Linked DNA regions of Diceros bicornis minor. The protein of the gene in region 3 interacts with the protein of the main gene of each other region in a pairwise test. Links are inferred from orthologs where the notes say so. Each region holds a gene or a part of one and is shown on either strand. Other genes may lie near its edges. The genes, in order: EHHADH, UBTD1 and MID1.

Region 1 (3,748 bases), on a different chromosome or scaffold from region 3:
TCCCTCTCTCCCGACAGTTTCGAGAGGTAAAAGAATATCTATGAAAATAGCCTTTAATCACTGCTAAAATTTGTGAAACATCAGTGAACAAAATCACTCCATTGTTTTTTTTCTCTGAAACTTCCAAACTGCCTTCTGGCCACTTGATGGCTGTGGAGACCACTAGGGGCCAATTACATCTAGAAAAACCTTGTCCCAGCCTGAACTTTTGGAGTGAAGGGGCTAGGCCTTATTTATCTTTAGTCTCTTGCCTACCTTAGCACATAATAGGTACTCAATTCATGAATGAAATGTTAGGATTCACAATCCTTAGGAATGGCAGAAGAAGAAAAAAATAGGATTAGGCAGACAAGAAACTCACAGGTTTCATTAGGTTACTGTAGGACTGTTCTGTAAAAATTTGGTTGATGTCAGTACCATACCTATTTAGGTGAAATGCATGATGTGTGTATTTTATGTGTTCCAGGTGTGTGTCATATCACATAATTGTCAGGACCCCAGATATCTGACCCTGTTAAGAAGGATCATGAGGATGAAATCTGTGATGAGGACAGCTCCACCAACTTAGTGAACCTAGAACTCGTTCAGAGAAGCCAGCCCCCTGGGCCAGGGGGTTGCAAACCTCAACTTCCTGGCAATTCCACCCGTTTTCCATCGTCTTCCCTGATCTACTTTGTAACGGGAGCAGGATGGGAGCCAAGAAAGAGAAACGGAAGACAAGGGTTTGCAGAGCGCGGGGCTGGGGTCCGGAAAAGGGGGAGGGCTGGGTCGGAGGATGGGCGTCGGTGCCCGGGAGCGGCGGGGCGGCGGGAGGTGGCGCCGGGCTCGCATTGGCCCAGCGGGCGCCCCTCCTCGCGGGGCCGGCCCGGCGCGCCGAGAAAAGGAGCATTGCCCTGGGGCGGGAGGCGGAGGCGACCTCGGCGACAGAGGAGACATGGCTGAGTATACGCGGCTGCAGAACTGCCTGGCGCTGATCCGCCTCCGAAACCCGCCGGTCAACGCGATCAGGTAACGGGCTCGGTGGCCTCCAGCCCCGGGACAGCAGGGCCTTAGCCGTCTGCCCGCTGTGGTGGCTTTGACTCTCCTCTGCTGGTTTAAACGGAGAGAGGCACTAACACAGGTTGAACAACGGCATATGCCTTTTACGTAGGTTAGCTTGGTTCATGTTCGCAGAGAACTCGCATCCCGGTTTCACTGGTAAGAAACCGAGGCTGAGAGGTGGACAGAGGGCCACAAAGTTGGGGAGCTGGCCTTGAACCGGGTCTGTCCATGCCTTGCAACTTTGACTTCTCACCCGTACTTTCTATTCCAAAGGTCTAAGCGCAGTGCTGGCTAGACCTTGATCTCTCCCTTGCCAACTTGGAGTCCAGGCCACCCTTACAATGTGTAACTAAAAGCTCTAGGAATCCAACAATAAAGTGACTTCACATTCTTAAAAATAAATTAAGGTCTCCATTAATGCCAACTCAGTGAAGTAAAGGAGAATTGTGTCCTGGCCCAGAAAAGCACAGTTCTATCTCTTGATCTGTCTAAACCTCGGGGCCTTAGTGCTTCAGTGCTTGGAAGATCCAAGTCAGAGTAAGCCTATTAAATAACATTTTCTGAAAAACTGCTGTGCGGTTTATCTTCTTTTATTTTATCGTGGAGCACCTTCCTTGTTAAACTCTCTAACCCAGATTTGTGCAGTGCACTTAAGCAGTACTTTTAAAAGGGAGATTAATGCTGCTTTTTTGAAAATTAGCATAGGTTTGGTTCTTTCATATCTCTGAAAAAAGTATAGTGATACATCAGCCTAGTAGAGAGCCACCCCATCCCTAGGGAGTAGGATTAGCAGAATTTATGAAGAATATATAAAGTATGGAGAGAAAGACCTTTGCTCAAAATTCTTATTGCCTGCTGCTGGAGCAAAAAGGGACTGAACGAGGAGACCTGCTCATTTTAACTGAATTTTTTTCCTACTGTCATCAGATTTGATTATATCATTAGTATTAATATTATAATTCTTATCTTTGACATGAATTATTACATTTAATAATACAAAAAATATGCAAGAGTAAAATCACACAACGATGATATGTCTGCCTACTTGCCATTCTCAGAAAAAGGCAAAATAGCCATTATTTTGGTTTTGACCAAAAAAACCCATAAGCAATATGATTACATATCAATTTTAGACTTGTCTGTATTCTAATTAGAATGACTAGATACTAGGACTGTCTGCCTCAGCCTCTGCTCACAATGGGAAACCATGCCCATCAAGAATTTGGGGGAAAAATGTTCCACAGTGTAATACCTGTAACAAGGAATATTTTCTCATAGCTATTTTAAATATTTCAAGTATTTAACCTGCCCGCTTGCCCCCTGGAGAAATGTTAGTATGTACCTGATAAAGTTGTTGTGAGGTTTAAATGTGTTGGAGGAGGATGGGCGAAATGGCTGAAGGGGGTCAACTGTATGGTGATGGATGGTGACTGGACTTGCGGTGGTGATCACTTTGTAGTGTATGCAGATGTTGAATTATGAAGCTGTACAACTGCAACTTATACAATAAAAATACATAAATAAATGTGTTGGAGATTATAAACAGGCATTTAACAGATGTTAGCTATCATGATTTTTATTAGTCAGAGGCCTGTTATAAGCCCCTACCAACAGGCCCTGCTGCCCAGGATTCGTTTCAGCTTCATCAAGATTTTCTCCACTTGGGCATAAATACTTTTCTGCCCTTTCTCATCTATCTTCTTTTGAACTTATATTTTAGGTAGAGCTGTACATCCCAGCATGTTTATCAAGTTTAACAGGTTCCCTTTTTTTTGTGCTTTATATTTTTCTTTACTTCTTCTCTTTCTTTTCCCCTTCCTATTTCTAATTTTCTGTGGGAAATTATCTCTTCTTAGCTCACTGAGACATTCTTTTTTGAATACTTTTTGGCCCAAATAGTTTAAATCCTTCTCTGCTAGTTTAGCCAGCCATGTTTCCTTCCATTCAGATGAATGCCAACCCTCTTTACAAGTATAGGGCATGCCTGATTCCTAGGCCTGTCTCTCAGAACAATGGCTCTCCCACTTTTTTTTAACTGTAATCCACACAGTCAAAAACCCTGTTTTGTGTAGCAACCTAAGACACACAGACAAATACACAACTGAAAACAGTTTTGTGAGACAAAACTTGTCCTTATATGTTATATAATTTGATATATTCTATTTTCTCTTTTTCTGTATTTCTTGGTTTAAAAAAATGGTGGTCATAGCCATAAAGTTGATTTGACGACCTTTGGTTTAAAAAAAAAACCTAAAAAAAAAAGACCTCCTACAGTCACAGAAGCTAAAGAGTTTTGGTCAGCACTCATGAAATGTTATCTATTCCAGACTCCCCTTCTCCATACCTGACAATATTAAGGGGAGAAAATAATTTCTTGACCCCTGTGACCTTGACACTGCTCCTAGGCTGTGGTCTCTTTCAGGAGGCTTGAATCTAGTAAAGCTGTGTCTGTTACAGCCATCTTCATTTTTCTTTATTTCTTGTGTTTGATTTTTGCAAAATTGAAAGAACATAAGAAATAAAAGAGTAGGGGTTGGTTGAAATGGGAAAAGCCAAGCTCTTCTCCTCAGTGGCACTGTTTGAGCTCATTTTGGCTAATTTTGCAGCCATCATTTACCCAGAAGGAAATATGTGCCTTTTGTTGCTTTTGTTTTGTTTTCTTCTTCTTTTGTTTTTGTTTTCTTCTTCTTTTTTTTTCCTCCCCAAA
Region 2 (3,748 bases), on a different chromosome or scaffold from region 3:
CTGGCTGGGAGGCAGAGGACATGGAGGCAGAGAAAGTCAGCAGAGAGAGTTCTTCAAAGTACAAAGCTAGGCAGCTGCAAGAATGGAAGAGAAGAGGGAAGCTGGTTGAGGGGGAGAGATGCAGAGCTGGTTTTAGAAGTGCTGAATCTAAGGATATCTACATTAGGGCATCCAGTGGGCAGTTAGAGATATGAGTGTGGGGTTCAAGAGGCAATAGTTGAAGATACAGATTAGAGGTCTTCCCAACAGACAGAGTTGTGGGACTGAATAAGATTTCCCTGGGAGGGAGTATAATGAGAGAAAAAAATGGAATGTCATATTGAATCACGGGTGTGCCCACACCCAGGAGGTGATGGTGGGCAGGAGTGATCAGAGAAAAAAACCAAGATAGTCTAATGACAAGAAGGGAAGGAGGGATTATTTCAAGTAGGAGTGGGTTGTTAGTGAAAAATGCTACTAAGTCAATTATGTGGACTGAGCACATAAATAATAAATACTTGTTGAATAAATGAATGAATGAAAGGAAGAAAGCCCTTGGGTTTGAGAATTAACTTTCCTCAGTCAGAAGAAAGGTCAGGGTTGCCTTCAGACAAGAGGGTTTCAATGTTAAATTTTACCCTGTCCCCCCTATAAAAACATGTCTCTTCCACAAGTCATCCTGTCCACCACACAGACATCCTTCCCTGCTTCCCCCGTTTCCCCTCATCCTACTTCCCGGTTTCCACAACCCAAGCAACACACCTTCAGTGTCAAACGAGACAGGAAACTCCAACTAGAATTTCCACTTCATTAACAATCCTGCCTGTAGCTCTTCTGACACAAAGGGATATGTGGCAATTGGGTGGAAGAGGAGACTGCGTTCTACCTCTAGCTGTACTACCAACTAGCTGTGTGGCTTTGGGCAAGTTGATCAACCTCTCTGGATTTGGGCTTTGTACATAGACAGGAGGAGGTACGTCTATCTGGACTCTAGACAAGCTTCAAAGGTCCCTTACAGCTCTAAAGTCTACGATTTTATCATTCTCAGAAGGTCCTTGCAACATCCTCAGAGAAGGAAGTGAGTACAAGACACGGGGAAGCGGCCGCCAGACCTCTTCCCGGGGCAAAACGCCAGGATAGGAGTGTACCAAGAAAGTGAGAAGGCGCTGCTCGGCCCTCGCAGATCAGCAGAGAGTAGATCCCATTCCCAAGGCTGGGAAGTATCCCAACGAACCCGAGGGCGATTCCCACCCCGCACCCCACCTTTCCCAGGCTCCCAGACGGCCAGGAGGCTCTAAAAAGCCTGCGGGAAAAATAAAGATTTCTTTCCCAGAGTCCTGCGCTGCTTTTGCAAGTCGGATTCCGGCAGACACGATCTGCAGCCGGATAATGACACAGTCTTTGGAAGGAGCGACTGTTCTCGCCTCGCTCGCTCAGAGTTCTGGGGACGCCTAGCCGCCCGCACCGTGTCCCGACGGGTGGACGTCCGACCCCAGCCCTACTGCCAGGTCAGCGGCGCCCCCGCCCGGAGCCCTCCTCCCCTTCATCGGCCCCGCTGCGGTCTGCAAACATTTCCTGCCCCCGCCCCCACCCCCACCCGGAGCTTCCCAGTTGGAGCAAGTTGGGCTCACAGGCGGGTCAGCGCTCGCAGTTGCCCCAACTCGGCTCCCCCGGTTACCAGGGCTGGGGAGGGGGCCCCAGTCTCGCTCAGGAGCACCCATCGGGGAAACCCAGGCTCCAGGAGCTTTGGGAGGTCACTCCGGGAGCCCAGGGCTCGGGCAAGGAGGGGGACAACTGGCGGGGCGCCCGTTGCCCTGCTCCCTTCCCGGTCGTTACCTGCTCGCTTGCGGGGGTGTCCCGGGGCGTCCGGCCTCTCCCGGCGCTGTCTCCCCACGCAGTTGCCCATGCTGCCTCCTCAGCCGGGCCCCATGCACCGGAGGCGGCGGGCGGGCCGGCTGCTCCGCACCCCTGGCCCGGACGGCGGCGTCCCGGGTCAACGGCTCCTGCCGCCGGGCATCAGGCGCTCCCCAATCTCCCCCCGGGGTCGCGCTCTGCCCAAGCGCCGGCTTCGCCACAAACTTTGCGGGCGAGGGGAGAGAGGGAGGTGGCCGACTCCGCAGCACAGTCCCAGGTGGCCGGGCCAGGGGGGCCCGCGACGGTGCCCGGCCGGAGACCAGCTCCGCCGGAGGGGCGGAGAGAGGGGGCGGGCACCGCCGCAGCTACTCCCGGCTCGCTCGGGGCTCCCAGCTGGGGCCGGCCCCCTGGAGCCTGTCACTCACCTGCCTAACCCCGCCCCAGCCCGGCCCCGCTCCCTGCCCCTGGCTCGCAGTGCCAGCGCCGCCGCCGCCGCCCGCCCCAGGTGCGCATGTGACCGACGGCACCGCCCCCTCGGGCCGGGCCTGATTTTCTCATTGGCTTCCCTAGGGTGCGTACCGCCCCTAGGCCCCACCCAGCCAGGTGTCCGCCCCGCCGCCCGTCTCCCGGGGAGCCGGGCCCGGAATTATTCGCCCTCAACGGCCCCCGGTTGCGTGCCCAGCAGCCGCCTTCCCTCCCCGCGCCTCCGCCCCGACTCTAGGCCCCGCCCCTCGGGGAGGGACCGTCCCACGCCTCTCTGGAATTGCCTGGCCGGGAGCCTGCAGGCACGTGATCCAGGGAGCGCCCCGCCCCCTCAGCCTCCGCCAGCCCATTGGCTCGGGAGGCGCGTGCGCCGAGAGGCCTGTCCCGTACCACCGCCCACTTCTCCCTCCCGCGGTTCGCATCATGGCCGCCGCCGCCGCTCTGGAGGCGGTGGCGCCTACAGGCAACCTGTGGGGCCTCGTACACGACTTCGTCATGGGTCAGCAGGAGGGCCCCGCTGACCAAGTGGCTGCAGGTACGGCAGACGGCGCCGCGCGGCTTCCGCGTGGGGGCCGGCAGGAGGGAGCGGCCTCAGCACAGACCCTGAGCGGGAAGGGAGTGAGGGACAGTGGTGACTTTGAGAGATTGGTCTGGGGCTGGTTGTGAGCAGCGCGTGCTTAAAAGCCATAACAAACTGAGAGTCGCTTGCATCTTCCCTAAAGCGCCTTTACGACCCTCGTCTCCGTGCATAGCCACCCTTTGCGCTGGCCGGGTTAGGAAAGTAATTACCATTTCACTTGAGGAAACTGAGGCCCAGCGAGTGCAAGAGACTCGCAGATCAGGCAAGTGGGGGAGCTGGGACTCGGACCCAGGTTCTTCAGTTCAGAATCAGGTGCTCACACCGCCAGAGCTCTTGTTTCTGGGAGGTTGACGTGAGAAGATGCATCTACAGCGGCATCAGCTCGAGTCACGTGGCATGTTGGGAGTGGCCGGGCGGCCGGGCGTCTGACTGGCTCTAATTGGAGAGAGGAGGAGAGATGCCAGTCTGGGGAGAGTTTGAGATGTTCTGCGCATCCTCCCTAAGCCTTTCCCTACATTTCTTGGTAAAGTTCTTGATTAATTTTTTCATGACATTTTTGTGTGGTATTTGTTTTTATTTTTTCCCCAGATCTTTATAGTTTCCTGCTTTTGACCAGTTCAGGAATCTCTTAGTTCTGACAGCTTATCTAGATTTGAATAAAGCAAATTACAGATTTCCTTGGAGTTCTGAGACCTTACTCTTTTAGGAAAAAACCTAAAAAGTTATTGAATGTTAGGAGGGCTTCAGACCTCGTGTTTAAGTAATAGAATATAAAATAATCTCTTGAGTACAGATGAGTTTTGGCTTTATTTTTGGAATTTTTGCATGCTTGGAGAGAAGTAAAGGACACAT
Region 3 (3,748 bases):
TCATCTTTAAAATGGACAAAATAATATCTATTTTGCAGAATTGTTGAGTAGATTAAATGATAACATGCTTGTGAAGATGCCAGGGCAGTGGCTGATTCATTGTGGATTCAAGAAACGCTCATTTCTTTCCCATGATGCCCTGTTCCTATTGATATTATTAATTATGTACATTATTGTGGTATGCCATTTAACAAAACAAAAATATTTAACAAAAACCATCTAACAAAAAAAAAAAACCCTAATATATCAAGGCAAAAAATGAGAAGGAACAGTAATTTATAAGTTATAAAGATTAAGCTTGCTAAAACATTTTGGTCCATCTTTTCCCAACTTGAGCAATGGCCAGATTAATTCATGAGAAATCTTACTTTTTAATTATTTAAATGCCCAGGGATGAGAATAACATACAGCAGGTCTTGTGCAATGTGAGAGGATTATTGATTAACTCAACTCCCAGGTTCTAAGTAGCCAGTAGCATATTTTAATGTATCAATAATTCAGAAGAACGAGCATTTTCTGTTGTTGCTGAAACCACATTTGCAATTGAACAACGTGAACATGCACAGAATTGTTAGAACAGAAAAAGTTGGTCTTTTCCCTTCTAGCCTTGGCCACCTCTGCAGGAAGACCCATCAAAATATAGTTTTCATCTCTAACAGCAAACATGGGCCACACTAATGACACTCAATAAATATATGCCAGATGAATGAAAATCTCATGAGGTGGTAGAGAAAAATGACCAGCAAAAGTATTTTAAAAGATCAACCTGGAAAGAAAATCAATTCTAATAAACTCGATGCTCTCGGGCTCAAATATTATGAAGGTAAATAGTCTTTGAAACTGGATCGAGCATGCAGTAGAGAATAGTAAATAACATTGATCACAATTTGAAAACCTCCCAGGCGTCCTCAGAGATCACAGATAAATTGATTAACTGTTATCTCACATTCAGGACCCTCAAATTAACTGCTTGCATTCCATAGACAATTCCTAAAGGCAAAGATAGAACTGTTTGGTTGAATTAGCATTTTCAGTTGAAGAAGAATGAAGACTGAAATTGACAGGGAATTGGCTTTCATTTTTTTGCGAATTTTAGGGCAGGCAAATAATTAGCTCATTTTAAAGAAAGAGCATATATTTTTTTCAGGCATTCACATTAACATGCATGCAAGGAAAGTTTATTTAAATAGTTATATACTTTAAAAAACTGATTGTTGTTAATGAAATAAATGCCACACATTTTCAATTTTTGAATATTCTAATAATCAGGCCATCTTAAGACAGCAGAATTAAGTAGAAAAAACTCTATGGGCCTAATTTCAAATGAAGTTAAAATTGCAGACCTGGGTAATTAGTTGGTGTTGATCATTTTATTTGATCATTTGTTTTCATGAGGCACAGATTCAACTGGAATAATAATAAGTGTATTATTTGTTTGATGTTAAGTTTAGAAACTAAACATCTACCATCAGAACTTTGCATAAAGATTTTCGTTTTATTTTACTGAGGAGGAAAAAAAATGTAGAGTCAGCTACGTTAGGCAGCATCCAAACTTTCTCAGGGAAAAACAATCACCACAACAAAGATTACCACCCCCTCCTGTGGGGTGGGGGCGGGGCGGGCGGGGCGGGCAGGGCTTGCAGGAATTTGGTTCTCAGCTCCGAGTACAGGCTTCTGACTTGTCCATCACCGAAACAACAGCTGTCTGTCACTTATATCTTCTCCACACATACTCCAACTCAGAAGGACTTGAGCAGTTTGCTTGAGGGATAATTCGCCTCAAACTGAATTAATATATTTCTAAACTATTCAGGGTCAAATTTCCCAGGATATAATAAAAGGATATATATATATATGTGTGTGTATATGTAGCCATATAAATTATGTATATCTCCACACAAATATAAACATCAATTCTAAAAATAACAGAATGGAATTAGGGAGTAAGAAGTACCGTTTGCCGAATAAGGCTGTCTGAGCGAGCCGATTCCTTGAAAACGCTAAAGGAGACGTGGTACCTATTCTTTCTGATTCTGGGGCAGCTTCCTTATTTCTTCTTTCTGATTAGAACGCTGGCTGAGTAACAAATAGAGAATATAAAGTTCTTCATGACTAACTCAAAACTCTGTTTTCCTCACTTTAGTGGGACCACTCTCCCCTTATTTCACCCTGTCTGGAACTTACTCTTGGGACTACTTGGTTTATCAGCAGTGGTTTTGGTCCCCACAGCCCTAGTTACAAAACAGGGGAAATGTACATTCTCACAGGAAACAGACAATTTGGAATTTTCCAGAAAGGCTTGATTTTCTCCTACTCCCCATGCAGTTGTACCCCCAAACTAATCAAATTTAGATATAAATGCTTTAAAAATATGATTATCCTATAAATAGGTGCATTCCTATATGGAGTATAGTTTCTGTGTGTGCATATGTTTTGTTTAAGTCAGTTGCTCAAAAGTGATGCTAATCAAGTTTGGGAAAAGTAAAATTATGCTATGGCTACCGGCTCTTTGTGCAGGAAACAGTACCTCTCTCATACATCAGGCAGAGACAATGCAGGATGTCCCCAGAATCACTAACCAATTTCCCTTCCTTCCAACACCAGCACTTTAATAAAGCAATTATAGTAGCATCCCAGAGCAGTAGAAAAAAATGAGCCTTACCAGTTTCTCCTACGGTAGACGAAAGAAAACAACCCCACAGCTGCTCTAGGCCAGGCAACTGGGTTTCTTAGAGTCACTTCACTGAGGGGACCAAGAAAGCTGAAGTCTTCCTTCCCTCTGTTTGGTTTTTCCCCAGCAACCTCTCCCAGGATTTTTCTCACAAAGCACTCTCCTATTCTCTAATCCCCTCACAAGGAAAACCGGCACACACACCAAATGACTTCTGCAGAAGCGCCTCTCCTGGGGAGCGGGAGGGGAGGCGGGGAAGGGAGGTGTTTGCTGGCATTAATTCCTGCAAGGCGAATCCTCACAGAGGCATCGAACTCAGCCCTCTGCACCCCTCAGCGACAGGACACGAAGTACCAAGGCGGGGAATAGGACAGGTCCCTGGTAAGGCATGGAGATGGGCGTTTGCTCTTTCTACACCCTCCAAACGCCTGGCAGTATCTCTCGGGGATGGGAGAGGGGGCTCAGCCTAAAACTTCATCTGAGTTCTACACCCCTTTATACTCCCTTCCAGAACAGAATGATTTCAAACAAGTTATGTAGACATCAGCTAGAAGCTGCCCAAATTTACCTAGCACTTTAAAAGCCCTGACAATTTATAGCAACTGTTTGTTTTTAATTTATCCCCAAACTGAAAATAAACTGAAAACAAACTTAAAACACCAAGAAAAGGCAGAATATCAAATACGAAAACGTGGATCTACATGCTCTATCAAAGATCCTGAAAATTACTGTTTTTACAAAAATTTGTATTTTTAAAATATTAAATAAAAGTAAATTGCTAAGTTGTAAGGCATGACCTTTTTTAAGATCTAAAGTTTACCTTATCTTCCCAGGACAGGGTTTACCCTTGCATTTCACAACAATATTCACACCTTATAAATCCAAATCCCCTTCTAACTTAAGGCAAATATTTTAATATATATTTCAGATATGCTATAATCAATCTGGAATTCCTCCCTTTCCCCTCAAGTTTTTAAAAAGAAGACTTACCTTTCTATTACGTCATTTAAAACCCTGAACCGAATAAATCAAAGAGGAGACAAGCAGATGGCACAGTTCTACAATTTGCAATGAGGG

What was found.
Region 1: the proteins of MID1 (region 3) and EHHADH interact in binary tests that used the Homo sapiens proteins (3 or more experiments, as listed by UniProt). The two-hybrid records come from large-scale screens. The link is inferred for Diceros bicornis minor from reciprocal best matches to the Homo sapiens genes MID1 and EHHADH.
Region 2: the proteins of MID1 (region 3) and UBTD1 interact in binary tests that used the Homo sapiens proteins (3 or more experiments, as listed by UniProt). The two-hybrid records come from large-scale screens. The link is inferred for Diceros bicornis minor from reciprocal best matches to the Homo sapiens genes MID1 and UBTD1.

Annotation. Positions count from the first base shown.
Region 1 is NC_080754.1:38,518,505-38,522,252, forward strand, and holds the start of EHHADH (peroxisomal bifunctional enzyme), read left to right. Parts: upstream 1-918; 5' UTR 919-934; coding exon 935-1,008; intron 1,009-3,748. UniProt on the Homo sapiens protein: Peroxisomal trifunctional enzyme possessing 2-enoyl-CoA hydratase, 3-hydroxyacyl-CoA dehydrogenase, and delta 3, delta 2-enoyl-CoA isomerase activities. Catalyzes two of the four reactions of the long chain fatty acids peroxisomal beta-oxidation pathway.
Region 2 is NC_080745.1:63,274,578-63,278,325, reverse strand, and holds the start of UBTD1 (ubiquitin domain-containing protein 1), read right to left. Parts: upstream 2,147-3,748; 5' UTR 1,886-2,146; coding exon 1,816-1,885; intron 1-1,815. Other genes in the region: MMS19 nucleotide excision repair protein homolog, read left to right, coding at 2,740-2,851. UniProt on the Homo sapiens protein: May be involved in the regulation of cellular senescence through a positive feedback loop with TP53. Is a TP53 downstream target gene that increases the stability of TP53 protein by promoting the ubiquitination and degradation of MDM2.
Region 3 is NC_080781.1:8,312,809-8,316,556, forward strand, and holds the start of MID1 (E3 ubiquitin-protein ligase Midline-1), read right to left. Parts: upstream 2,911-3,748; 5' UTR 2,663-2,910; intron 1-2,662. UniProt on the Homo sapiens protein: Has E3 ubiquitin ligase activity towards IGBP1, promoting its monoubiquitination, which results in deprotection of the catalytic subunit of protein phosphatase PP2A, and its subsequent degradation by polyubiquitination.